4 linked regions of the Xenopus tropicalis genome follow. The protein of the gene in region 1 interacts with the protein of each later gene in a pairwise test. Links are inferred from orthologs where the notes say so. Each region holds a gene or a part of one and is shown in the gene's direction. Other genes may lie near its edges.

The links.
Region 2: the proteins of rgs2 (region 1) and nipsnap1 interact in a two-hybrid assay, tested with the Homo sapiens proteins (2 studies listed by BioGRID and IntAct). The link is inferred for Xenopus tropicalis from reciprocal best matches to the Homo sapiens genes RGS2 and NIPSNAP1.
Region 3: the proteins of rgs2 (region 1) and ddr1 interact in a two-hybrid assay, tested with the Homo sapiens proteins (2 studies listed by BioGRID and IntAct). The link is inferred for Xenopus tropicalis from reciprocal best matches to the Homo sapiens genes RGS2 and DDR1.
Region 4: the proteins of rgs2 (region 1) and wdr74 interact in a two-hybrid assay, tested with the Homo sapiens proteins (2 studies listed by BioGRID and IntAct). The link is inferred for Xenopus tropicalis from reciprocal best matches to the Homo sapiens genes RGS2 and WDR74.

Annotation. Positions count from the first base shown.
Region 1 is NC_030680.2:117,678,585-117,682,680, forward strand, and holds the start of rgs2 (regulator of G-protein signaling 2), read left to right. Parts: upstream 1-1,294; 5' UTR 1,295-1,371; coding exon 1,372-1,484; intron 1,485-2,684; coding exon 2,685-2,798; intron 2,799-2,907; coding exon 2,908-2,969; intron 2,970-3,362; coding exon 3,363-3,529; intron 3,530-3,963; coding exon 3,964-4,096. UniProt on the Homo sapiens protein: Regulates G protein-coupled receptor signaling cascades. Inhibits signal transduction by increasing the GTPase activity of G protein alpha subunits, thereby driving them into their inactive GDP-bound form.
Region 2 is NC_030677.2:144,811,235-144,815,342, forward strand, and holds the end of nipsnap1 (protein NipSnap homolog 1), read left to right. Parts: intron 1-1,845; coding exon 1,846-1,929; intron 1,930-2,302; coding exon 2,303-2,367; 3' UTR 2,368-3,589; downstream 3,590-4,108.
Region 3 is NC_030684.2:75,321,484-75,325,002, forward strand, and holds part of ddr1 (epithelial discoidin domain-containing receptor 1), read left to right. Parts: coding exon 1-92; intron 93-732; coding exon 733-860; intron 861-1,188; coding exon 1,189-1,389; intron 1,390-1,484; coding exon 1,485-1,719; intron 1,720-2,880; coding exon 2,881-3,030; intron 3,031-3,519. UniProt on the Homo sapiens protein: Tyrosine kinase that functions as a cell surface receptor for fibrillar collagen and regulates cell attachment to the extracellular matrix, remodeling of the extracellular matrix, cell migration, differentiation, survival and cell proliferation.
Region 4 is NC_030680.2:36,483,011-36,485,770, forward strand, and holds the end of wdr74 (WD repeat-containing protein 74), read left to right. Parts: intron 1-748; coding exon 749-804; intron 805-881; coding exon 882-1,024; intron 1,025-1,287; coding exon 1,288-1,344; intron 1,345-1,736; coding exon 1,737-1,910; 3' UTR 1,911-2,241; downstream 2,242-2,760. UniProt on the Homo sapiens protein: Regulatory protein of the MTREX-exosome complex involved in the synthesis of the 60S ribosomal subunit. Participates in an early cleavage of the pre-rRNA processing pathway in cooperation with NVL.

The DNA of each region.
Region 1 (4,096 bases):
TCTGCTAAAAAAAATAAATATCAAACCCGAGAGATGCAAAACCAGAAGTTAGATCTTATAAAAAATACACACACAAAAAAAACTAATTGCAAATTGTCTCATTCTGTAATTTGTCTACATCAAGCTACATGTTCATTTTAATGTGAGCTGTCCCTCTGTTTATCCCTATTGTTATTATAGCCTCCCCCTCCCTACATAAACAAAACAGAGATCAACCTAAGAACACAGAATTTACAATAGGAAACCCGTGGTGCAGGGGAAAGATTCTTACACTTTTTTTCCTCCAATATTCCTTATACATGTATACTCTTATGCTTATGAGACATTCACCTAAGAAACCCTTCTTGAAAACCCCTACAGCGTACATTGCCTGGCAACATAAGCCAGATCGGTGCTAGAAATAGTTGAACAAAGAACAATGTAAATTTCCATATATGAAACATCTCCTTCTGTTTTTCTAAAATGCTTGTCTCCCCATATCCCCTATATGCCCCTATGAAACTTAAACTGAATGTTGCAATAAAGGACATTTATACATATATTGTATATATCTGTAAGGAATACCAGTTGCACAGTACAGACTGGGCTTCAAGCTGATGTATAGCCCATAGATGTGCCACCTGTAAGAGCTCACAAATGATTGGAGCTGCAGTAAGGATTCTTAAAACTTTTATGGTCTCTTAGAAGTTATGGTAACCATTAGAATAGCTGTTAAGCAAAGTATACAGAAAGAGGGAAAAGCCGTGCATAAGCTTTAACATTATTCTGTAGGAAAACAGAACTACACCAGCCATCAATTCCATGTCCCTGTGCCATCAAAGCAACACAGTTTTCCAAGCGCAGCTGGACTAATACTAAGCAAAAAGGAGAGCTCCCTATTGCTGTTATACAATGTATAATGCATATAATGTCAGTGGGAGATTGAAGTTTCCCTTTCCTACTTGCTGCAACAGAAATTCTCCCAGGATAAAAGGGGGTTTGGATATTTTGTTTGCCTTTTGCATACAGCTGAGAATAAAGAAGAATAATATACAAGGTGCTTAATATACAGGGTGCTTAATCACTAGTTTTCAGTGTAGTTGCCAGGAGCCCAGGAGAAGCAGCAGCTCTAGCACACATACACTTGCAGCAGCCCCAGACAAAGACGTCAGCACTAGAGATTTACCAAACTGCCAGGAACTGGCTCAGCCAATAGCAGAGGCGCAAGGGAGGGGGCGCCTAAGCCCAGCCCCACCTTGGGTGCATATAAAGTTGAGCCTCAGCAGTCTGTATAGAGACAAATCATCCTAGCTCTCTAGCAGCATCACTGACTCACTGACAGAACTAGCAGAAGAGAGCTCTGGGACTAATACAAATCCATTGAGGGACATTATGCAGAGTGCAATGTTTCTTGCCATTCAGCACAACTGTGGGCAAGTCGAACGCTCGTCTCCTGGAGGCTGTCAGAAAAACGAGGAGAAAAGAGGGAAGATGAAGAAAACTATGTAAGTTTCTATACACATTGCTGTCAGTCTGTATTATCTGCTGCTTTGCGCTCTGCAGAGGGAACCGAGCATTGCAAATGGCATGGGCTCTCCCTACAGAGCTCAGTTCTCTATGGCTGCTTTCCCTAAAAACCAATGGCACTGGCATTTATTGCAGAATGTATTTCTTCTGCTGCATATCTTCTTATATAGACATATATATATAATACTGGGCATCAGTTAAATACCAGCTTTTAAGGATAGTTTTACACTGCTTTTAAGTCCCTGTGCAACTTTTTGCATTCAAACTATTTTCAGTTTCCAGATGCATGCGTGAAAACTACTAAACCGTGCCTATTCACATTATTGCATTAGGTTTATTAATATTATTTTATTTTGCTGACATAAGAGTACAGTAATGCAGTAAGATTTGCTTTTTATTAAAATATGGATAATGGAAACCAATTGCTTGTAGAGTAGTAAAAGCGCAGGAATAGTCAGGATGGCGGCAGCGAGAGCCTCAGTGAATAAGTCATTCCTGGGCTGTACAGTAATGCAATGATCTCATACAGGCAACATACGTTGCACAGCTGGGAGAAGCAACTGCAATGGCCTCTTGTGTTTCCTTAAAATGTGCCAACACGAGTAATAACTAGTCATACCGAGTGTGACGCACTTATGAGATAGATTACGTTGGGTAAGATAATGTTTAACAAAGATACAAAGATTAATTGAGTCTATAAAAGCCACTCTTATCTAACCCTCTATATATCCCTAATTAGATCTTTAGATTGCAGCAATTAAACCTCAGTATTTATGTTGCCCTTTTTAATTTTAATATCTGATGTGGAACCATGGTCCAAATATAGAAACGTTAATTGTTAACTGCTCCCTAGGGGAGTGAGCTGCCGCCCTGACACAGATGGTATTGTACTTTGCTCTGAAGTTTAGCTATAAATACTTTCAGCAGATCAAAAGTCTTCCTTAAAGCAACAGGCGACTTGCCTTTAAAAAGAAACAGACTAAAGGTCACAAGATCTTCGCTAGGCTGCAGAACTAATTAGATAGCCTGGGAGTTAACCCCTTCACAGCTGGGCAAGTTTAGAGGCAATTTTCATTTCCAGGCAACAGAATTTTTGATGCCTTTATTCTGCTTTCTAACACTGAACTGCGCTGTGGCGTTTAAAGAGTTTTAATAAAAGATTCTCTTTCCCTTTGCAGTTTAAAAGATTGGAAGACACGTCTGAGCTACTTCCTGCAGAATTCTCAGAACACATCCAACGGGTCCTTAAATATGGGGCAGAACAAAAGAGGCAAAAAGAACGCCTATTGCAGGTACAGTATATAGAGATTGATTATATCTCACTACCTGAATGTAATATTGTTCTTTGTAAGGCAATGGGAAACTAAGCAGAAGTATTCATGATCCCTGTCTATCTTTCAGGCCCACTCCAGAAGAAGCCAAGAGTTGGTCAGAAACCTTTGATGATCTTCTTGCCAGCAAATGTAAGTTATTATCAGAAACTAATTTGGGCACAGCAGATAGATAAATATTAAGGGGAATCAGTATTTCTGTGGACCATACATATATAGTGTGCGTGTATTAATATACAGCTTAAAAGGTGCACAACCATTATGATATGCCACAACCTAGATGCAGAAAACTTTTTCTTTCTTTCTTTCTATCTTCTATCTATCTTTCTATCTATCTCTATCTATCTATCTATCTATCTATCTATCTATCTATCTATCTATCTGTCTGTCTATCTAATCAGTTTCATAAAAGGAATCAGAGAATAGTTATAGCATAGAAAAGCATATAAGTAGCCCAAGGATTTTGAAGTTCATTATCATTACAGGAAAAAGTAATTAACACATTTGTTTCTCTCTTGTTAACAGACGGAGTAGCAGCATTCAGAGCCTTTTTAAAATCCGAGTTCAGTGAAGAGAATATTGAGTTCTGGCTGGCATGTGAAGATTTTAAAAAGACCAAATCCCCACACAAGCTGACAGCAAAAGCAAAGAAGATTTATGATGAATTCATTGAAAAGGAAGCCCCCAAAGAGGTAAGCAGCTACATGCCAGAACCATTACCCCAATGTAGTCGTTGCTTAGTAAATACGATATCATACTAGAGTTGTGTTTGAGTAATGCAGCCATTTGTTTGCATAGTTATTTTAAGAAGTCTTTTGACACAGTTACCGTTTATGTTCTCTAAATAGCATTTTAATGTAATGGTGATGAAAGCATTGTGTGCATAACCTATCTTACCTATGGGTGTAGCTCAAGTGCACTAGTCACAAAGAGAACACTTTAGTCTCCTAAGCCGAAACACTGGTATTTTTCAAGTAGCAGAGCTTACAAAGGAAAATACTATGATTTCTCCCAGACCATCACCTATTTAACAAGAGATATATTTTAAAATCAAGCCTAAAAATGTGTTATTTTTCATTAAACATCAGGACCAATTCATAACTTTATTTTTATATCTTTCCTGCAGATTAACATTGACTTTCAAACTCGGGAAAACATTATGCAAACCATGCAGGAACCTTCACACTCCTGCTTCAGCGCTGCCCAGAGACGGGTGTACAGCTTGATGGTGAATAATTCATACCCACGCTTTATTCAGT
Region 2 (4,108 bases), on another chromosome or scaffold:
AATAGGCAGGGTGTGATCAGACATTTTGGTAAATGCGACTTGCCTTGCCTCTTTTATATTAGGACAGTCTAAAAAGGCCCATCTGTTTGTCTGGGCAATTACTTAAGGTTTCTGTTGGTTTCTGTAGGTTGTGTGTTGGGTCCAGATAGGCAGAGAAGTATTTATTATGCCAGCTTTAAGCAGTGGGCATCACTGATGGGCCGTGAAAACATGGTGATCTGTCTCAAGATGACTATTTATTGTTACATAGTTACATAGGGTTGAAAAAAGACCAGTGTCCATCAAGTTCAACCCATCCAAGTAAACCCAGCACACCTAACCCACACCTACCAATCTATACACTCACATACATAAACTATAAATACAACCACTAGTACTAACTGTAGATATTAGTATCACAATAGCCTTGGATATTCTGATTGTTCAAGAACTCATCTAGGCCCCTCTTAAAGGCATTAACAGAATCTGCCATTACCACATCTATAGGGATAGTATAACCCACCCCCATATGTAAAAAAATAAACTAAGTTTGCCCTGGTGCTATAACCCATAGCAACCAATAGGATGTTTGCTTTTAAACAGGTGACCAGTAAATGCTGCCTCCTTGTTTGATTGCTGTGGGTTTCTGCTCTTGGGCAAACATTGTGCTTTTTATTACATAACCCCATTATTCTTAAAACATATTTCTAATTTTAGGCTGTGCTGACAGGTAGTTGTGAATCCATCATATTGCCGGATGCATGATTCATCCTTCCAGAGTACACGGTCCACTGCTTTAGTGAATCAAATAACAGCAATATTAAAACAATGCAGTTGACATTTTGCATTACATGTGGGAGGCTTGTGTGCACAATTAAAAAAAAAAAACCTTGCCTTTACAATAGTCCCTGTGCTCATGTTAGTTCCAAATACAGTTTGGAACTCAACAATGATGGTTCTAACAAAGGACGTGATTATATATAATGTCCAGATTCTTATGTTCATGAAACTTTACCAAAAATTCAGAACAAGCAATACCTGTGATAGAATAATGTCAAAAAGCTTGTAGGTTTGTTGGTAAAAGAGAAAAGTGAGTTTTTTTGTTTTTTAACAAATAAATCATAAAAAAATTTTCTTAAACTGTTTTTGATTGTTTGACTTTTGATGTTATAATGGATTTATAACATCTCTTCTAAATGGATGTTTAGTAACTACCTATGGTTGGTGTTTTTTTGTACTTTTTATGCTTCAACTCTTTTGAGATGGTCCATCTCAAAGAGTCTACCACCTTTCCTTTCCTAACTGGACGTTTTTTGAGCAAATCATACCATATGACTTTTCCTTAGTTCATAATATTTGTAGAATACCCTTTTGCTGTTATTGCTCTGTTGCTGCTTTTGTCTACGAACAGTGACAAGTCATATATGGTTGTGCCTAACTGCTAGACCAGTGATCACAAACTATTAGCTAGGAGGCAGGTTTTAAATCACAGACACACCGTTTTACTCCAAACAGGCTAGCAGTCCACATGGGGCTACCAAATAGCCAATCACAGGCCTTATTTGGCGTCCCCAAAGAACTTTTTTTCATACTTGAGTGGCTCACAAAAAAAAAAAAAGGTTGAGCTAGACATACTTTGTTTCTTTATTATTGCTTTTTACCTTAAAATAAAACTAAACAAAATTTTATACTTTACTAATACTGTATGTGTGGTGGTGAATATTAACTATTTTGCCTTGTTTATGGATTCTGAAAGTTTTTAGTTAACAAAAAAAGTTTAAATATTTAGAATATCATTGAAAATAGGATATTGCATTTAGTGACCTTAAACTAGCAAATAAAATCAGTTCTTTGCCTGTGTATTAGCTTACAAAGATCTTGAGTCCAGAGAAGAGACACGTAAAGCTGCTTGGACCAAACGAGGATGGGATGAGAATGTATACTATACAGGTAATGTACCAAATGTTTACAGTGATTCTAATAATAGATCAGTATAATTCCCTTATATCAGTCACTTTCTTTATAACCCAATTAATGACCAGTGTATTTGCTGTGATGGTAAAATGTACCATTTAGAATACATAATTTAACATACAGCACAAGGTGTTTTTTCGCATTGTAGAAAAAGATGTTAGAACTTGATTTTCATTAATGTGTGACCATGTGCTGAAAAGTAATTTTCATAGTTTTCTACTTCATATACTACAAGTTCTTGTTATGGCTGTTAATGAGATGCTGGGAATCATGTTTTTTTAAAACTGAAATATTTAAAAATCCTGTCTGTGATTATTTTCTAAAAAGCTAACGTTGTTATATTTTTCAGTTCCACTTGTCAGGAATATGGAGTCCCGTATTATGATCCCACTGAAGATCTCTCCCCTGCAGTGATTAGCAATCTCGCCTTTTCCACATTTTTCTCAAGTGCTAGGTTCTAGTTTCAGTAATGTGAATAAATTCTGCTCTGATAATTCTAGTTCATAAGTATGGAACAGAACAAGGGACAGGTCTTGCACCCAATTACTTTAACCAAATCATGTTAAAATGATTATCTTTGCAAATGACAGAGATGGTAAGGTGCAGCATTTTCCTAAAGCTTTGAGCAGCTGCATGCCATCACTTTCCCAGTCAATAACTTTACCTCATAACAGATGTTACTGGGCTCATTTATAAAAACTGGGCAAATTTGCACCTGGACAGTAATCCCCCATAGCAACCAATCATTGATATAATTTTTCCAGACAACTACAGGTGGAGTAATGAAAGCAAACTTCTGATTGGTTACTAAAGGTTACTGCCTAGGTGCTAATTTGCAAAGTTTTTTTTTTTTTATAAATGACCCCAATGTGCTAAGCTTATTTTGTGCTGTCAATATTTGACATTAGTTTAAAACTTTAAACATGTGCAGTACTTGCAGTATGTAGCCTGGAAGACCAGGCCACAGCAGCCTGTATAATTGTTTGTTCCCTGTATAAATAATTGTTTGTTCTCCCATTTATTTGTTTTGCCTTTCACCCTAGTGTAGCTTTAGCATAGGTCCCATTCCTTTGTTTAAAAGCAAACACCCAATTTAAAATATCCCCCTCCCCAGTGATATCTAATGCTACCCCATAAGTTGCCCCATGCCCTTTATCTGGCCTAACAAAAAAAAAGTATATCAATAGGGTTTGCAGCCACCATGTCTGACTGTGCCACATATGCATGAAGGATCCAATGTGTTGATCATTGTAAGCTGATTTGGTGATACAGGCAGACATGGAGGTCAACAAGTCCACTATGCTATTCTGCTTTGTTGGGCCAGGTACAGGGCATCCCAAATAGCACTGGTATGGGTCTTTGTCATGGCAGGGGATGGAATTTTTAAAAAATGACTGAGGAAGGGTTTTGTTCTCCTTGGATATTACTTTAACCAGTTTTAAGGGCCCATTGCATTCATGCATTTCATTTTCAGTTGTCATGCTCAGGGAACAATGTAAAACTATCCATCAAGAACCAGTTGTCTCTGACTTTGTAAATGAATGTCTGTGAAGATATCAGCTTTTATATGTGCTCTAAAAGTCCCAGCATTTACAATGTTAGAAAAATATCATAGTAAACTCATTTAACAACAGTGATTTGGTGGTGTCAAATAAATTGATTTATTTCGAGGTTTAAATATATCAGACTGTTGGGTAGTATTTTCCACTTGTAGCTTCTGGTACATGACTTATGTTTGCTTCATTAGTTGGTGCCTTGGCATAACGGTACAATATTTAATTTAGAAAGTCCCACACTCTGCATACAATGTATATACAGTGCCGTACAAAAGTATCGATCAATGTCGCTAAATAAATCCTACATTAAAATTTCTTCTCTCTGTATAAGAGAATAAGCGTATTTTGGGACAAGTACCAACTTTGCAGGTTTCCAAAGTGGCATTACTCCCATTTAAAAAAAAAAAAAAAAAAAAAAAAAATATATATATATATAAAAACTAAAATATAAATACAATATGTTAACTGTCTCTTGATCAGAGTGACCACCCTAATGTATAAATGTGTGAGACCTAATTGCAGGGACTGATGTTAAAGGAGAAGGAAAGGTAAAAATCACTGAGGGTGTGCATGCCTGGTATATGCTGTAAACAGAACAA
Region 3 (3,519 bases), on another chromosome or scaffold:
ACTCCCTCGCTTCCAAAGACTTGCCTCTTTGTAAATTCCCCCGTGGACATCTCCTTTTTAAGGAGAAGCTGGGTGAGGGGCAGTTTGGAGAGGTAAGTGCTGCTTTTGTTTACTTCAAAAATGATCTTTACATCTTAACATAATGGACACGAGGGCACCCACTCCGTTTAGAAGAAGGGAGGTTCCATTTAAATATTCGGAAAGGATTTTTTACAGTGAGAGCTGTGAAGTTGTGGAATTCCCTCCCCGAATCAGTCGTACTGGCTGATACATTATATAGCTTTAAGAAGGGGCTGGATGGATTCTTAGCAAGTGAGGGAATACACGGTTATGGGAGATAGCTCTTAGTACAAGTTGATACAGGGACTGGTCCGATTGCCATCTTGGAGTCAGGAAGGAATTTTTTCCCCTCTGAGGCAAATTAGAGAGGCTTCAGATGGGGTTTTTTGCCTTCCTCTGGATCAACTTGTAGTTAGGCAGGTTAGGTATAGGCATTATGGTTGAACTTGATGGACGTATGTCTTTTTTCAACCCAACTTACTATGTTACTATGTTACTATAATGCTTAACCATACTCCCACTCCGATCTTCATCATGTACAGTCCTACCAATTTCTTTGTTCATTAGCCCTGCAAAATCATACATTCTTTTGCTGTGCCTCTTTTTTCTGCTTCTCTTACAGGACCCTTCAGCTTTTGCTGGTTTTATGTACATAATGTATCATTTTTTCAGGTACACCTGTGTGAAGTAGTGAATCCTCATGAGCTCCCCACTTTACAGTTTCCATTTAACATGCGCAAGGGAAGAAGCCTGCTTGTGGCTGTTAAATTGTTGAGAGCCGATGCCAATAAGAATGCAAGGTAAATTGATTATTATTTACTGAACTGATTGTGGGTTATTATTTAGTCTTTAAATGCTCAGTCTGAACCATTTTTACCCCTTATTTTAGTAGCCAAAGTCATATTTTAAATAAGAGCATCTCATGGTGCTCCATAATTATGGCTTTCTGGTATGACAATACACCATTTTATTACTATTCATTGAATGTCAATAAAGGGCACTTCTCATTATCTGCCTATAGGTATTACTTCCCATCAGAAACACTGTTCATAAAAAGTATACATATGGTTGAAATGCAGTCAGCACTATGTATCAGCATGGTACTTTTTTTTGCATTCCTGCCTACAGAAGCGATTTCCTGAAGGAACTGAAGATCTTGTCCCGTCTGAGTGATCCTCACATTATCCGTCTGCTGGGTGCTTGTCTGGATGAAGATCCGCTCTGCATGATCACAGAGTATATGGAAAATGGAGATCTCAATCAGTTTCTGAGTTCCCATCACCTGGATGAAGGAGAGGAAAGTGGAGCACAATGTCTGCCTGCTATCAGGTGTGGGAACCACTCTGAAATGACTCACTGTCTATAGTTATCTATTTGTCCTACACTCATTCTGTTTATTGTTATTATTTTTGTCTCCCCTGCAGTTACCCCAGCCTATTGCACGTGGCTGTGCAGATTTGTTCTGGAATGAAATACCTTTCGTCCCTTAACTTTGTACACCGGGACCTGGCCTCAAGAAATTGCTTGGTGGGGGAAAACTTCACCATAAAGATTGCAGATTTTGGGATGAGCCGCAACTTGTATGCTGGAGACTACTACCGAATACAGGGCAGGGCAGTACTGCCAATTAGATGGATGGCCTGGGAGTGCATACTTATGGTGAGCATAGTTATGTTAGAATTCATTTGTCCATATAATAAACTTGAACATACAGTGTTGCATACTTAATTTGGTTTGAAAAGCGATAATATTTCATTAAATTCAAACCTTCCAAATAACCCCCAGTGCATATATATGTACACACATACCTATGCAGACCTTTATGTGCACTGAAATATATAAAGTATATATACACATGTCTATATTAAACTAAAATAACTGTGTAGGGTTTACTGTAGCCTGTGATATTATACTTGTCCAAGAAGTCATCTAAGCCCCTCCTAAACACATTGATAGTCTCTGCCTTCATAATGTCACCCAGCAAAGCATTCCAAAACCTCACTGCCCTTAGAATGAAAAAACGTTTTGCTGCTTCAAATGAAAGTTCTGTTCCTCAAGCTTAAAGTTGGTAATGCCCTCTAATGTACTTGTAATGTAAAAAGTAAACATGTCCCCTTGCAAGCACCTTTTCTCCAGAGAAAACAAGCCCAAGATTAATAATTTTTTATTTCATAATTTCTCCTAAGCAGCACACTGGCAATGACAAATATTGTCTGGGGGAAAGTGTCCTAAATGCTGTTTAGAAGCCAGAAATGTCCTTCACTGATGATGTCAAAAAAACACGCAGCCATATAGACTTCAAAAGTTGCTATTCTGTGCTCTAAATGACTAAATAAAGGCATTTTTATCTGTTTATTGGAGTGCTGTCATGTGGACTTCTATGTAAAATGAACTAATCTTTTCATTTGCCTTTTAAATATTGTGAGTTAACTTTTTAATTAGCCATGTAGAAAAAAAAAAGAAAAAAAGAGACTTGGGTTGGCAACTCATTGTGAGCCTTCTGAATATCAGCCCTGACTATAAGTCACTGACACCTGAGAATAAAATCTGATTTATACGACTGTGTGTAGATTTGCTCTGGCAGGTTGCAGGCAACACAGTCTGCCACATGTGCGTTCTAATTCATAAAATAGGCAACAGCAGTTATGATGGCCGTTCCAGTACTTTGCAGCCTTCTCTTGACTCATTATGGCATTCACGCCAACCTCCACCCCTTCTCCCTCCTTTTGAGCATTCTCTTTATCCCATGTCTAATCACTGTATGTGTATTCGTGTATGCAACACTATTAAGAACTGATCCAAAATATAATTTTCATACAGGGAAAATTCACCACAGCCAGTGATGTGTGGGCTTTTGGCGTGACGTTGTGGGAAATTTTAATGCTGTGCAAGGAGCAACCATATGGTGAACTAAGTGATGAGGATGTGATTGAGAATGCAGGGGAAATCTTCCGTGACAGCAAGAAGCAGGTGAGTGAAGGGGTGAGAGATTAGGCAAGGCTGGATCTGTGCTGACAGCTGTATGAGCAGGATCCATACAGATAGAGCAGAATGATGTAGTGTATGGGCCAGAGGCAGGATTAGTAACAGCTGTGTGTGAACTGGGTTTTACAGGAATAGCAGGGAGGCCACAGAACAGAATGCAGGCATGGGCATCCACAGAAAATTTTCCCGGGGGGAAATAAATCATTAAAGAAAAGATTTGTGTCAGTGGAATATTGTTTTCCTGAACTTAAACTGTATACATTATTAATTAGGTGTTACTGTAATGCCAGCTCAGATGTTTCGGAAATTTATTGGCAAATATCCCACCATTGGACCATTCTGTTCCCGGGTCCTTGGAAACTCATTTAATGTCCCTGTGCTTCTGGCATCTGCACTGTGTGGTGTAAAAATATTCACTTACAGTAGAAGTATAAAATAGCAGCTGGGTGGACCACTACACTTATATAGCACAAA
Region 4 (2,760 bases), about 81 Mb from region 1:
CATGCACTAGTGATATGAGCAAAGTATGAATCAAAACACGGGAGCACTTACCGCTCAAAACAGGTGTGCTACACGCGGATCCTTCTCCCAGTGGATCCCTAATATAGATTCACAAAAAAGAAGAAAAGCAGACCACCAAAAAAATGAAAATAAAAACTCAGTCTTTATTCCAGCATCAGTAAAAGGCACATATACATCCCAAAGGACCTATGCTTGACGCGTTTCGTGGCGTCCCGCCACTTCCTCAGAAGCATGCTTTTGTGAATCTATATTAGGGATCCACTGGGAAAAGGATCCGCGTGTAGCACACCTGTTTTGAGTGGTAAGTGCTCCCGTGTTTTGATTCATACTTTGCTCATATCACAAGTGCATGTAGTGATATGAGCGAAGCATGCTTCTGAGGAAGTGGCGGGACGCCACGAAACGCATCAAGCGTAGGTCCTTTGGGATGTATATGTGCCTTTTACTGATGCTGGAATAAAGACTGAGTTTTTATTTTCATTTTTGTGGTGCTCTGCTTTTCTTCTTTTTTGTGAAACTAGTGATATGAGCACCATGCTTTAATATAACCATAGTATATCATTTGTATAGAACCTACACCTTTGCTTTAGAAAGAAAATACCTGTACCAAGAGAAACCCATTAAATAAGACATTTTGTTGGAAGTGGACATTTTGGGATTGAACATTTGACAGTGAATTAAAAACAATTGTACCAAGATCATGTTACTCTCTTGTGTTGTTGTGTAGGTCTGTCATTGTTGGAAATTCCCATGGGAATATGGCAGTTATCGATCTAAGGAAAGGTAAGAGTCTCAAGTTTGTACTCAAATGTACTTTTGGTCTCTCTGTCCCACTTCATCATTTTTAATTCCCTTCCCAGGCCGATTGCTTTGTGCTCTCAAGGGAAGTGCTGGATCCATACGCTCCATCCAGTGCCACTCATCCATGCCTATTGTGGCTTCCTGTGGGCTTGACAGGTTCCTTCGAATCCACAACTATGAGAACAAAGAACTGCAGCACAAGGTGCTGATCTCCTTGTATGCGTTTCATTATGTAACTAAAATCTATTTGAAGTGCTTGCACTCTTCTGCACAATCAAATACAAGCTACTAGTATTATTTCTTATGCAAGAAAAAGTATGTCTAATTGTGTGCATTAACCCCTTAGTAAAGACCCACAAATAGTTACACATGGAATAGTATAATCTTGGATCCCAAAACAGGAGTTTCAGAGCAGAAAGAAGTTGCATGTCACACCGTTCTACATACTATTTTCTTTTTTTTAAGGTGTATCTGAAGTCTCGGTTAAACTGCCTTCTCTTAACGTCACGTGACAAATGGGAGGTAAGACTCAAGCTCTGCTGGCACCTGGGTTTTGGTATAGGGTAATATATGCATTGGAAAACTTTATTCAGGCTATAAGAAAAACTTAAGAGACTTGTCCTGTGTAATCCTAAGCCTTATCCACATCCGAAGTCCTATCAGACCACACCCATTACTCTGTTAACAAGGTCAGAAATGGGCAAGTTGTTAGTTAAGCTGACCCTGCCAGTGCTGGGTCAGGCGATTACCGCTTGGAGATGTGAATTTCTAAGCAATAATTGCTTGATCCGTAGGTATGCTGCCATGGTTTGTGCTGTTGATTTGCTGCGGTTAAGTAGACCAAACTAAAAATGTATGAGCACATCCCAAAGCTCTGGTAATGTCTTTACACAGTACGTCTGGTTTCATTTTAGGAAGATGATGTAACTTCAGCTGCAGAGCAGGATGTTAAGGAGGAGGAAGATGAAGTGTGGGACAACATGGAGACAGTGGTGGACAAAACCAGCAAAAAACGCCAGGGGGTTCAAATTAGGGCGCTGGAGGCTGGAACTAAAAACCCCACCCGTAAAAAAAAGAAATGTGCTTGAGCTCTACTTTTTTTGGAGAAATGTATTGATAAAGTATAGGCAAGTACAAACATGACTAACTGCTCCGATGTCCAGACTGCCATCTCTGCTGCTGCATTCTCCTTTAATTCCATCTCAAGGAAAGAGATCTTTTCTGCAGTTCATGGAGCAGCTTTTGGATAAACTGAACAACAGCTGACTGATATAGTGAGGATGCTGGACCCCATGCAGATGAACCTTATTAACCTGTATTTTATATCTCATAGACTAAAGTGAAGTGCTATCTATTGGATTTCATGTCACATTCATGTAAATATTTGTTCAATATAGGAATAAATAGATCCTTCCTACATATTCTGACTAGATACATGTTAAACTCTATTGGTTAGTCCTAATTATTAAACCTGCCCTATTTTAGACTACTGTTACTGCATTCATTCCCAAGTAATTCTGGTATCTTTTTTTGTACAGCACATGTATTTTACATGGCTGGAATAGTTTATCTCACATGAAGTTAAACACCTTTCGCCTGGTTATGGCATGGGGTAGAAGGGAGTACTAATGAAAATAAACCAAAATAAAAAAAAAACTCAGACAATGACTGTGGTGGAAAAGCCATAGGGGGTTATGTAATAAAAGACTGGTTATGCAATAAAATAATTTCGGTAAGTTTGAATTTCTTGGATAAACTCCATCCCGTCTATGTAATTACAGGCACCAAGTTTGGCCAGGAGCAGTAACCTATTGCAACCAGCAGGAATCATTTACTGGTCACTTGTTTAAAAGCAAACATCAATTGCTATTGGTTACTGCTCTTGGGCAAACTTGGTGCCTTTTATTACATATGGGGGATAGAGTTTATTTGGAGTTT